Drosophila melanogaster: one gene and its partner. The protein of the gene in region 1 purifies or fractionates together with the protein of each later gene. This does not show direct contact. Each region holds a gene or a part of one and is shown in the gene's direction. Other genes may lie near its edges.

Region 1 (6,969 bases):
ATTGATATTTTGTATACTCTAAGTTGCTTTAAATAATAGATTTAAAGGAAAATTGTTAGACAGACCTAATGTTGTATACTACAACTATGTGCTACGGATACGATATACGCCCGATTTAATAATCTCAATTTTGTGACTACTATTTATAGATTCGTTTTCGATATGTACTCCGCCATTACTTCTAACAGCGAAGTGCGTATTCGTTGCTTCCCTAATATCTACGGTATACCTAAAGCTCTACTGAACCCGACTCCCGACTTCGAAAAGCCCCTCCTGGTAATATCAACAGCAGTTTTAAAATTAAACCTCAAATTGATTTCACCGCAACTCATTGTCAACCTCATAATACTTTCTGGCATTTTCCATTGCGCATTTTACTGGATTTTGATAACATTTGCTATTCCATAACTGACAATGAATGAAATGGTCTTAATTACAATCATTTGCATTGCATATCTGGAATACAGAGCCTTTTCGATATGGTTTTCCTATCCTATGGTGGCAGTTTCTAAACAATTCGATTCGTACTTAATAATCATTTAGCTTTTCAACAATTAAATCAAAACCAAATGTGCCAAGAAACATTTATTGAACAGCACTCGCTCCGGTATTTTTGACAGCACTGATAAGGCAACTCTAATAAACAGCACGTAGCATTTTCTGTCGTCTAATATAATTACATTTAATTAATGAATTAAGCATTTACAACTTAGTTTATACAAGATGTTAAGTAATAGATATTGCTGAATCCGATAAATGTCGATTAGAGATCTGGCTTCTGTGCAAGATCACATTTGTAAGAATAGCTCCTAGGACATGTATTTAAGTTGGGCAATAAAAAAAACCACAAAACCTTTGTGAAATATTATTTTAATGCTCGCTTGTCTGCGAATGGAAGTAATAAATATTTACATTTTTTATTTCAAGAAACTCAGTTCTTTATTAAATTTCTAGATCAGAACTGCGTACATTGAGGAACATATTTAAAAGGTTTTCCATGATGGCAGCTTTAAAAAGAAAGTGTGTTATAACCAATTGACCATATTGGATTCCTTTTTTAAAAAAGGCAAAGTGAAAAAAATAACTTTCCTAACAAATAGATATTAAACAAAATGATTCATTATTTTGAAGCACAAAAGAAAGAGATATTCCAATCTTCCATTGATACACTATTATTGTTCTCACAACAATACCAACAAGATCCTTATCTCAATGATCCTCAACTACCCTTAACTTAGACTTGTTAAAGGCAATTCTTGTGTTGAGATCATATACCCCCTCCCCCTCGCAAGTGGCACTGATTGACGGGCATGGAACCTGCACCCTGGACATGGAACTGGAACCCTGGGAGATACTGGCCCTCGGTGTCCCTCAAATGCGTGAAACCCTATGACTCATGCGCAATGGACCAAAAGAAAACGCCTGAGCCGCACGCAGGCAGCATAACAATTTATTGGTCAGAACATACAAGAAAAGGTATTTGTTGATAACGTGGAAGGGGGGAGGTGGCTCTAAGAAGGGAAAAGTGGATTGTGTGATTGGTAAGGATACACCGCGACAAAAAGATCTTATATACTTATGGCGTTATGCTGTTATCATGGGTGATAAAGGTAATATTTTTATACATATGTACGTAACATAATAATAAGTTGTTAATTTCGAAATATTTCGTGTATAGAATAATGCTTTTCCAATTCATAGTAGAGACATTTATTATGAATATTATATGCTATGGAAATTCTAAGTATGTAAATATACAATTGATCGCTGAATATATGCTATGGAAATTCTAACTATGTAAATATACAATTGATCGCTGAATTCGCTAAGTATTTTCCACGATGTAGAAAAGCCCCCACCCACTAACATGTTCTCCAAAGAGATCAGTCCTCTGTGGGTATGAGTCATCTTTGTTTATGTAGAAATTATGCTACCTGCTGCACTATGTTATTTTCATTTTCGTGCTCTACCTGTTGTGCGAAAGCGGAGGAGCAGGGGTATGGGATTCGACACAAATCCGGAGACACCGTTTTCACAGCTCTGCTCTTGTATAGCAATTCTTTGATGACGTGCCGAGTTTAACTACATACCCAGCTTATGACGTACAGACTGATAAGCTGATAGGTTGTTTACGCAAGCGAATTGCATTTAAGAACAATTTAAAGTTTAATTTTTATATGTATGTATGTTTGTTTGTGTATAAAGCGAAAAAGTATTAAGATCATACTTTAAGTAACTTAGCTCATGCTTTTATAACATATATTGATAAAACAAAATCAAAATACATACATACATTCTTTTTAAGAGTATCACTAAGTTTTTGACTTTCCTTAAATAGATATACATACATACATATCTAGTTATTTATTTCATTTATTAAGAAGCTGACTTTTAAATAAAATTAATACCCACATTTAGTATAAAAAACTGTCTAATAATAAATTTTTCTACTTTCAGATGTTCTTTCAAAATTTTAGATCAAAGTTTCCAAAAGTTGCTAATAGTATTCTTAAATTTAGTACTTAATATTCGAAAGAGAAAATAAAAATAGAAATGAAAAAGAGTGTGGTAAAAGCGAGGTTTTAGATATTCAACGACACACAAATGTGTACATCTAATTTCATTGATTTGAATTATTTAATTTATTTATTTTTGACTTCATTATCTTTTTAAGCATTATTTTGCTAAAAGCTCAGAAGCAGCTGCCATGAGCGCTTTTAGGCACTGAACACGATCGTGCACGTCGCTGACGAGAGCTTTATTAAACTTTTAAGCCAGATCCAGTTTCATTGGCACTATCAAGTAGAGTGTGGTGAGCAAAAGAAAAACGGGGATAATCGGAGAGGCGACAGCAACAACAACGACCCAGTGCCTTGGCAGTTGATGTCTGTTTGTGGTTGGCCATCCCGCGCAGTCGCGTTCTCCCGCACACTTGCGCAGTGAACACAACCTGCGCTCCAAACTGGTTTTGGTGGAGGAAATCCGCAAGAGAGAGCGCTAGAGAGCGGATTGGAACTCGGTTTCGGCCAAAGCCAAAGCAGAGCCAGCAGCCAGTTTTTGCTTTTTAGTCGATTTGTATCTACCTTTGGTGCGGACGGTTGGTCGGAATAAACGCGTTTCGCAGCGGAACTCCAAGAAGAGCAGAAAACCAGTCTTTAATTGTTCCATTTCAAGCTGAAATCAAATAAAAGTTCTTCGCCAATGGCTGAATAAAGTACGAATCAATGCAATCACTACGATTCGCAGTGGAAAATTGCTGGAAAAGTGAGCAAAGTGTGTGAAAAATGTGCAAATACAAGAATTTTTATATTGATTTTCTTGGCCAAAAGAGCGAACGAGCGAGCAAAAGGCAGCAGCAGAGGAAGAAGAAGAAGCAGCAACAGCACAAAGCTGCGCTGTAAGGCTTCCGTCGTTGGTGCGAGCAAGAGGGGAGGGCCCTACTGGGTGGGTGTGAACGAGACAGCAATAGCGAGAAATGTACTCTGGTGTGTGTGTGGGAACATTTATGTTTGTTGTTTTTGTTATGTTCTAGCTTTGGCCAAGTTAAATTAAAAAAAAAAAGAACAACAAGAAGTGGAGTTGTACACAGGAAAAAATGATATCAAGTGCCTTTTCTTCTAATATATGTTTATCTTTTGAAAAGCAAAAGATATTATTCAAATGAGAAAAAAAATAATCATAAAGTAATATTATTTGGCGAATTATATTTTTTTTTTAACAGAAAAAGATTCTGTACTATATCTCAAAAATAATTGGAAAAGCATCTAACTTACAAAAATGGGATACAATATATAAATACATTTTTTGATATCTACTTTTTTTTTCTGTGTACAAATAAAAAGAATACCTGTATGTGAGCTTGTGTGTGCGCCTATTCTTTTGTGCAATTCGCCTTTTAAAGGCATCATAAAAATAGCTCAGCCTGCAGTTTGAAAGTGAAAGAAAACCACATTTAAGCGGAATGCAAAGTGAATTGGCAGCAAGTGCAATAATCGACCCTTCTTCTTCCCGTGTTTGTGTGTTTAAATAGCTTTTTTTGCGTGGGTGCTATTGCTGTCTCGCTCCCGCTCCTGCTCGCATATCCTTTTGCCCTTTGCCGTTTGACGTCGTTTGCTTCTTATTGATTTTCGTCATTCATTGATAAGAGGTTGCGAACGAATGTGCGCGTGTGTGTGTCTGAAAAGGAAATCCCCAGCCAAAAAATACTAATGTTCGTGGTATCTCCATATAGCAACCGCTTTATTGACCAGAATGTCGTAAGGATCGATCATAGAGCCACCAATACACATACCCAAACCACACCAATCCTGGACAATGCAACCGTTCAGCGACAGTCTGAGCAAAAGTCGCGATGATCTGGTCACCGCCGCCTCCCGGCAACAACAACAGCTACACGGACGGAGGCGACACCACGGCAGCAGCCCCAACTTGTCGCTCGATCAGACCGACAATCTGCGAAGGAGGTGAGCATTATTATTATTAGACATTATGGTCGTGATGGCTAAGACAAAAACCTAAAAGTTTTAGAACGATTTTTGTTTGAGTTGATTATAGAAAAGTTGTTGGACATTTAGAAACTTTATTTAAAGAGTAATCACATAATTGATTAAATCTTAAAAAAAAAACTAAAAAGCAACCTCGAGCATAAAAACCCCAAAAAATAAATACTTTCAGCCATTAAAAACTCGTCGTGTTTAAGTAAAAGAAACAAAATCGGCTTGAAATTTTAATTAATATTTCAAGAATATGCCGCCGAATCGTGCTTAATTAAGCGGGGTAATCGACCTTCACTGTATACAAGTTTTTATGTAATTCGCAAGCAACTGAATACTCGAAAGTATTTAGCAGGTTAAACGATCGTTTAAAAATTTAAAAAGCCACAAAAATCTTGAACTGAGTAACAATAAAAAATTCAACTTTATCCGATAGATACAGGATTCTATTTCCCAAATAGGAGGCGTCAGCTTTATTTTCCTAGTTCCTAGTCTCACTAAGTAAATAGAAATCATTAGAAAGCACGTGCAAACCAAAAAAGCTTGTTGTGAAATAATAAAAAGTTATCACAGTAGATATTAAAAGAGCATAATAATGACAACAAAGAAGACAGACATACAGACATCTACTAAAACACTGCAAAACAACAGTGTTAACAGATAAGCAGATAAAAGGGGTTTCATTATTTAAATAGCGAAATACTAGTATTTAATAATTTTTTGTAATTGTGATTGATTATAATATTACTAAGGAGAGCACTCGATTTTCAGGAGTAGAGATAACAAGCACACGGAAATGTCTTCATAGGCAGTATCCACTGTAAAAAAAATTGGGCGATACAATTTGCAGGGGGGCGCAGCCAAAAACTTCCTATTCGCACACTTACATCCACAGCACGACCACCTGTATCTGTATTTGTGTGGATGTGTGTGAGATTTGATCATGTGTTCCCCACCATGAAAACTGGTTTTAAGTGTGACCAGATGGCAGCCTGGCCTGGGGAGACCTCGAGATGGTTGGCCAGTCGATACAGGCGCTGGGGAATGCGGTCAGTCTGACAACAACAACGCCGGATGATAACAGCAGATGAGAGCGGAGCGGGAGAGAGAGCTCCATCCGAACTGATACTGATAATGTGGAGCTAGACCGTTATGCTCACGCTGCGAGTCGCGATTTAGTTGGCGAAAATCAATCGCTTCTGGTGGTCGCTCTTTGCGCTTGAAATTCGCAAGCCTGCCTTAATTTGCGTCCGTGTGTTTGTGCGACAACAAAAACAAAAGCGAGCTTATCGCCAAATCAGTTTGCAGCCGTTGTCTGTGTGTTGGTGTGACGCAGTTGTGCGAAATACGTGAAATTATTGCATTTTTCCCCCCCAAACCCAACCAATAAGCAACAGTCTTGAAAAACCGCCAACGAAAGTGTTACGCGTCGCGTTCGTCTCTCTTTTCTTGTAATTAATAGCAACAAAAAGCGATACCAACTTACCTTGACGTCACTTTTTTTTATTATTATACATCGGACGACAAAAGGCGATTGTTGTTGTTTTTTCGGTGGCTGCTGGTGCTTGGCACGAACTCACAATCAAAAGTTAGCCAACTTTTGTTGTTGGCCCAGTGCGTAAAAACAAAAAAAAAACAGAACTGCTGGCGAAAAGCGAGCGTAAAATTTTGCATTAATGCAGTCTCGTCGCATGAATGAATGAAATTCTTAGTGCGCGACAACTAATTACGAAAGGGAACCAAAAAAGTGGCAATAACAAATAAACCATGGTCTACATCATACCGTTCTTTAGCCACAATGACCCGCCCGACATGATCATCACCAAAGAAAAAAGGTAAAATACACGCACCCGAAAGTATCTCAAGATGCACTGAGTCACAGAATCTCACAGATTCACCGCTGACCCATGCAGAAATGAATGAAAAGAAATGGGGAGACGCCGCCAAATATCCGCGTTCTATGAACCACACGCCAAAGGTCAAAACGTGCTTGGCCGCATATCGCAACAGAACATTTGGGGACGGAAATTAATGCTTTTTCACAAATTCATAAATAAACGAAAGGTTTTTGACATTTGCACGGCGGGTGCCGCCAGCCGCGTGCGAGCAGGACGGCTGTATTGTCAAAAAAACAGAGAACGGTACACTAATGCGCGTGTGATTTTTTTTCCAATGATCAACAGGTAGGGGTGAATTCACCATGTAATGGAGTAAATCTTCGTACCCGAAAAGCGAAGATAAAAGCTAAGCGGCTATCAAATTATGATTTGTATTATAAGAAACTTTAATAAGCAGGGACAATACCTCCACTTACATATATCCACATTTCACCTGAGAGCCAACCAGAATTATCAGTGTGGGAAAACTTGCTGACTTACTTAGCTACCCTTCGAACAATGCTAATTTAGTGTTAATATGTTGTCTTGGAATAGAAGACAGTAATAAAGAAACTAACAAATACTTGCAAAGGGACTGT
Region 2 (6,890 bases), on another chromosome or scaffold:
CTGCAATCTGCGTGGCATTGGCCGAAATGGCATAGAAGGTCTTGGAGCTCTCGGCCGAGTTGGTGGAGGCGCATTCGAGGCGGGAGACCACGGTGTCCAGCGGCTGCTGCTCAAGAGTCCAGACCTGGCAATTGGAGTTGGGATACGAGCAGCCGATGTTGGCGGACCTGAGAAGGATCTGGCGATCCTCGGCATACTTCTCGCTGATATGGGATGTGCAATTGTCATAGGCCGAGATGCAAGCCGTAAAGTTAGTTTCGAACTGATCCGCAATTTTGGCCAATTTGGGCTTGTAGATCGAGAAGCACTGCGTGGAGTGATCTGAGTGGACTTCGGCCAGCTCCCTGCTCTGCAGCTGCAGCTCCTGGATGTGGGCGTCTGGTCTAAAGGGAATTTGCAGCTTCACAGCCAGCGAGAGGCCCAGGGAAAGGCAGAAGACCAAGATCTTGGCTTGCTTTGCGAACATCTTGGCCAGGTTAGTTGACGGTGGATGTGACACCCAGACGTATTTATACTCCCATTTATCATTATCTTTTTAATTACACATTAATGTTATATATTTTCAATTACTGATAATGATGGCTCTAAAGGTTTGATGGATGGCAATGTTAAACGAGAGTAGATAAGCTCATGTTTTACTGCCAAAAACCTTTAAGCTTTCTTGATACACTTTTGAAAAACACCTTCATATTGAGCTGATAATGAATAAGTCGTCCAATCCTTTAGCTAGTTTCAGAGGTATAGGATTTAATCGTTTAAACTTGATTAATATTCACTCAAAGTCTTTTATTTACAGCGATAAAAGTTCACGAATACAGGGTGCTCGAGGTGATCTGAATCTTGACTCGAGTCCTAGAGCACGTAGTTCGTGCTGGGAAACTCCCAGTTGGGATCACCCAGGCAGGCTACCATGTCGGCGTAGCACTCGCCGTGGTTGGTGTTGTAGGTCCGGTAGGCTTCGATTTGGCATCTGGATAGCGTTTCCGAGATTACGGACACCTCGGCGAGCAGGCTGGTTTGGTTGTCGGATGCGTTGTAGGAAGCTTTCTCCAGTTCCTTGGATGCCGAAGGACCCTGCGATTGGGTGGTGATATTATTAATGCTATTAAGCGCAAAAAGTTATACAAAATACGGCTTAAAACACTTTAAAATACTCATTAGAGTATGCGTGGAAGATCATAGATTAAGCCACCATTGTACGAATCACTCACCCCAGAGGCCAAGCACTCGAAGGCATCGGAGTTCGAGGTCCTGCCATTGCAGGTCAGGAGGGAAAGGCAGGTGTCCCTCACGGATACGGACAGCTCGTCGCGGGAACTGCGGTAGCTTGAGTCGATCAGGGAGAAGGCCCCGTCGTAATTGTCCTTGCACGCGGTGAAGTCCTCGTTGTACTTGTCCACGTGACCCTTAAGGAGCGGGCTGTAGTAGTCCACGCATTCGACGTTGAAGAGATCCGATCGCATGGCCGGAGAACTGAGCAGGAGCTCCACCAGCGAGGACTCCCTCTCGGTCTCGACGGGAGTGGGCACGGCAGCCACGAAGACGGCGCCGATAGCCAACAAAAGGGGGACGGCCTTGAACGACATATTCACTTTCGACACTTGGAGAACTGGACAACTGGAGTGTGGGGCCCAAAGACCCAGACTTGGCTTTTATACTGTAGTAATTCCAGCAACTAGATTACTAATATTTATGATCCACAAACTATCTGGGGTAGTTCCTGATGTAGACCCCGTTATCGTGACGCCTTGTGGAAGCTCTTCAAATAAAAGGTGTCAATGAAACCCCCAATATCAATTCAACAATATTCATTCCATCAAATAAACTAAATATATTTTACCCATTATAGGCAAAGAGCTACATATGTATATCTACTTTAGAAATTTAACACCATGGAAAATAATTTCGTGTTCTTGTTATACAATATATGTTTAGAGAAAGGTAGTAAATAAGAGACACTAGATTTCGCTGATATTTTTCTTTGAATAATTAATAGTTTTATTATTTAGCTCGTGTATACTAATAATGCATGGCTTATACACCAATTTTATATAAAACATATCAGGAATTCTGTTTATGGTAAATATAGATGCCTACGCAATTTTTATTTACGTCACCTCTAAAATAATTACATTTACTATCAGTTAAGAGGGTATTCACAAATTTTGTATTGCAATTTGTATTAATCACTTGCAGATTATAAAAGATAACACAATTCTAAGAATTCGTGCAGGAAGCACTTTTGGAGTATGGACACTCATAAATTAACGCATACTTAAACTGGCGGAAGCCACAAGAACTAAATGCAGTGGATTTGAACAACTAATTTTTTTGAGTGCACTGCCAGGACCTCGTTTAACACATCTGTTAACATCTGTTTCTACATAGAGTGATGGTGTCTCTTAACTGCATCGCACTTAACATCGCCAATAGGATGGTGTACTTGCTTAGGTGGGTTGCGTGTATTCGCTAGAAGAGTGCCTTCGGTTGCTATCGATAGCCAATAGCTCTTCGAATATCATCGATAAGTATCGCCCTCAGTACATCGATGCCCGATGCTTTTTTACATCACTAGTCACTTTGTTAATCAAAATATTAGAAAAAACTCCATTTCCGCCTCGAAAGTGCATTTCGGGATCGCGCAGAAGTGTTATTAAGTGCGCGACTCGTTCGTTGATCTTAAAAGCGCTAGTAGGCGATGAAAATCAAGTGGAAAACGATCGTTTTTTCTTCTTAAACTTTTACTTACGGCAGACACGCACACGCACGCAGCTCACCGACGCACTCGCACACACACAACCACTCGCACGCGGAGAGAAGAGCAGCAAGCGGAGGAAGAAGAAGCAGATCATCAAACTTAAAATTTGCGAGGTGAAAATAACGAGAGGCGAAGGTTTTCCCAGCACCGAAGATCATAAATCGCGAGTGCGTTTTCATTACCTCCCATTTTTTGGTGGCCATGCCGGATTTCCACCACCCCCCGCCCCTGCTGAAATCGGTGCTGCCAACTTGCTGGCCACTAAACAAATTTTTTTTTTGTGAATGGGATATGGATGCTGTTGCGCGCAATTTTCCCCACATTTTCCACAAAATGTATTTAACGCCCACTTTCGAGTGCTAAATTTAGTCGGCCAAGCGGAAGGACGAAGCCGCGTCCTTGATAAATCGATGTGTCAAAAGGAAATGCAAAAAAGCGCGGGACACAGAGGAAATAGCGGTGAAAAGCGTGGGCGGGCAGCTGCCGCGAGGTCTTCCGCCCCGCCCCCATTTGTGTTTGCGCTTTTTTCCATGTCCTTGCAGTCGGCTTACAGTTATTGTTCTGTGGCACAAGTGCAAAACTCAACAGGGGGAAGCCCCGCAAATGTACCCTGTACATATGTATGAGCATGTATATGTATATTAATTATGAAGCGCCAGCTGATTCCAGTTCGGAATTCACATGTTTTTGCCGGTTTATATATATGTAGTTAGTACCTTATATTTGGAGTCCTTCAGTCTCAACAGTTCAGGTTAAAACAGGTTAAAATAACACAAGTTATAGTAAAAGTATTCAAATCAATAGATAATACTTATTTTGGATTTTCTACCAGCATCCTACTGACGGTCAAGATGCGTTTACGACTCATACAGGTCGAGAATTAGAAAGAGTATAGCAAATAATTATTTCATGTTCAGCTGAAATCAAACTGCCATGAGTCAACTTAACTTCCGTAGAAATTTCTATGAAATGAAATGGTTTTACAAAAGCCGAGACTTGCACATCCGTTTGTGTCAGAAAAATCCAGATACCATTTACAGGAATATTCAGACACAGTATTCAGTTTATTATTTGTGTGTGGAAAACTATAAACTATCTATTTTGGCATGACCTTTGCTTAGTCATCCGCTGGTGAAAGTTCAAGTTCAAGGTCTTGCTGGTTGATATTGATTGGCAGTCGTTTAATGGTTGCATACCCTTGTGTCCTCGATCCGTAGATTCCTTGGCACCGGCTAGCCGTAAGAGGAGGAGAAATTGCACCCGCCCGGCACACAGCACACAGCATGTTCAGTGAACATGGGCGGATTCCTGGATAAGCCGAAAACCGCCAAGCACAATGACGAGGGTGAGGGCAACAAGCTGCTCTTCGGGGTCAGCTCGATGCAGGGATGGCGGTCGGAGATGGAGGACGCCTACTACGCTCGTGCCGGGCTGGGGGATGCCCTGCCGGACTGGAGCTTCTTTGCCGTGTTCGACGGGCATGCCGGATGCAAGGTGTCGGAGCACTGTGCCAAGCACCTTCTGGAGAGCATTATTAGCACCGAGGAATTCATTGGAGGCGACCACGTGAAGGGCATTCGCACCGGCTTCCTGCGCATCGACGAGGTTATGCGGGAACTGCCGGAATTCACCCGGGAGTCGGAGAAATGCGGCGGAACTACCGCCGTGTGCGCCTTTGTCGGCCTCACGCAAGTGTACATCGCCAATTGTGGTGATTCGAGGGCCGTCTTGTGCCGCCAGGGTGTTCCGGTGTTCGCCACGCAGGATCACAAACCCATTCTGCCGGAGGAGAAAGAGCGCATCTATAATGCGGGTGGCAGTGTTATGATAAAGCGCGTAAATGGTACCCTGGCAGTGTCGAGAGCCCTTGGGGATTACGACTTTAAGAACGTCAAGGAGAAGGGACAGTGCGAGCAGTTGGTATCGCCGGAACCGGAGATATTCTGTCAGAGCCGCCAGGATAGCGATGAGTTCCTGGTGCTCGCTTGCGATGGAATCTGGGATGTGATGTCCAACGAGGACGTGTGCAGCTTCATCCACTCGCGAATGCGGGTGACCAGTAACCTAGTGAGCATCGCCAACCAGGTCGTGGACACCTGCCTGCACAAGGTGAGTCTTGATTACCATGCATATCGTCAAAGTTTTCACATGCTGTTCATTTCTTGACTACAGGGTAGCCGCGACAACATGAGCATCATCATCATTGCCTTCCCCGGAGCTCCGAAGCCCACCGAGGAGGCGATAGAGGCTGAACATCGTCTGGAAAAGCAAATCGAGAAGATCACAAGAGGTTGTCTTAGTCGTCTACTCTGTTTATAACTAATCGTAAACTGTTGACCCATGGCGTAGTGGTCTCCTCCGTCTTCGCGTCTCTTTTGAACCGAAATACGTATATTTTGTACCTTGAGCGTCACGAGTACTTTATATGGGCTCCTCGATGGCCTACAGTCCCGACCCAAAGTGCTTCTAGAGCTGTATATGCCCCACTTTGTCCAAAACTAGAATCTTACAAAACAATTCCTTTCCGAAGTAGTTCCAAAACGAAAAACAATACCAAAACGAAAACCAAACCATTGCCATTACTAATGCCAAGAATGAACTCCTCGCACACCCACCTCAAGTACAGTGAAAGCTCTATTGGATGGATAATAATAGGCACTGATAATCTATATGTGTATTTCTAATACTTATTTGAAACCTTTCGAATTTACAAATTCATATCAACAGCAAAAAGGCTGAAGTCCGTTTTTTTTTTTTTACAAGAGTGCTATATAAATGTTGTATACTCTACATAATGTGGCTCATTTATGCTCATATTCTTAGTGCTTAGACATCACGTACATTTAGTTATATATTCCCTTAGAGAGCTTTCACCGATATTTGCCTGTATAAATATGTAAATGGGGTGTGTGTGGGCGTTCGACCAATATCCTATCACTAATGCATAGCAAATACCTGTATAGCGTGTTAGTTTGTCATATCTGGTGGCTGTGCGTGTGGCTGACCAGTGTTCGTCTGCCCCGTGTGTGAGCCTGAGTTATAGTATTATTTATACATGCCTGTGTGCACTACAGCCACTGCCAAAAGCGTTCCATGTATGCGAAATCCAGCCCATTTAGCTTTAGTCGTACATATACACCTAAATAATAACAATTATCGACGAACCTGCCCGAGCTAAGTAGTTAAATGACCCGTCAACCAATTTGTATATACATTTACTTGCATATACGTATACCCCATTTGATACTAGGCGCGATGTGAATCAATCAAACGAAATTGCAATACTTAACGTACGCAGGTATTGACACTCAAAACAAACACTTGGAATTGATGTATCTAAGTAGGAGTAGCGAATTAAATCTTAATTTCTAAGCAAAATCAAATAGGAGAGTATAATGTCTTCAGAGAAGATTAGTTGTAGATAGAAATGTAAATAAGCTGAATAGCTGACAAAAACTTTGAGAAGCAATGAAAACATATATTTTATTAACTAGCAACCGCTCAGATGAACTGTAGTCGTATTACTTGAATTACGTATTTAAAGCAATGAATAACCCTTGGTGGTGTTTATCCGAGACTTCAGTATTCGAGGCACCAAAGTGAAACTCGGCCAAAAACCCGCAGGCCGACCTTGTTGATATAGACAATTACTTTAGACCGAATTCGTACGATTTACAATTAGCCAGTTAGTGAATAGACTTAGAGCATGCATTGCCCACCACTGGTCACAGTAGCTAACCCATTTAGAAATTATTTAGGCTAAGCAATAAACCAATGTCCAGTGTCCAGACGAATTACTTAGCCTAGAGTAGAGTAGCCAAAGGAGTTGAAATGTTATAGAATGTATACGTAGGTTAACGAAACCGAATTGTAAACCTTATGCTCACCAACTGTTGTGCTTGTTGTTAACCGAAGGCAAACGATTACTCCACCCAAATCGATCAGACATATTCCATTCAATCTAAGCAACTTCCCCGAAATATTTGTACTTGGGTGCCCTGGTAAATTGGTGATCCAGTTAAAAGTGTAAAACACACACATCCCACACAGCCGAACATACACGACTTTTAGAGATTAATGAACTACCATTGATGATAGTCAAAAATATAACTTAACGAAAGATTTAAAAACC

What was found.
Region 2: the proteins of wnd (region 1) and alph purify together in Drosophila melanogaster (affinity purification with western blotting, with the first as the bait; one study listed by BioGRID). This does not show direct contact.

What each region holds. Positions count from the first base shown.
Region 1 is NT_037436.4:19,631,726-19,638,694, reverse strand, and holds the start of wnd (wallenda), read left to right. Parts: upstream 1-2,911; 5' UTR 2,912-3,264; exon of another isoform or gene 3,265-3,273; intron 3,274-4,231; 5' UTR 4,232-4,314; coding exon 4,315-4,463; intron 4,464-5,598; exon of another isoform or gene 5,599-6,260; coding exon of another isoform or gene 6,261-6,328; intron 6,329-6,969.
Region 2 is NT_033777.3:29,589,297-29,596,186, forward strand, and holds the start of alph (alphabet), read left to right. Parts: upstream 1-2,534; 5' UTR 2,535-2,871; intron 2,872-3,797; exon of another isoform or gene 3,798-3,975; 5' UTR 3,976-4,054; coding exon 4,055-4,867; intron 4,868-4,930; coding exon 4,931-5,048; intron 5,049-6,890. Other genes in the region: CG11470 (uncharacterized protein), read right to left, coding at 1-466; CG31041 (uncharacterized protein), read right to left, coding at 853-1,074, 1,212-1,586.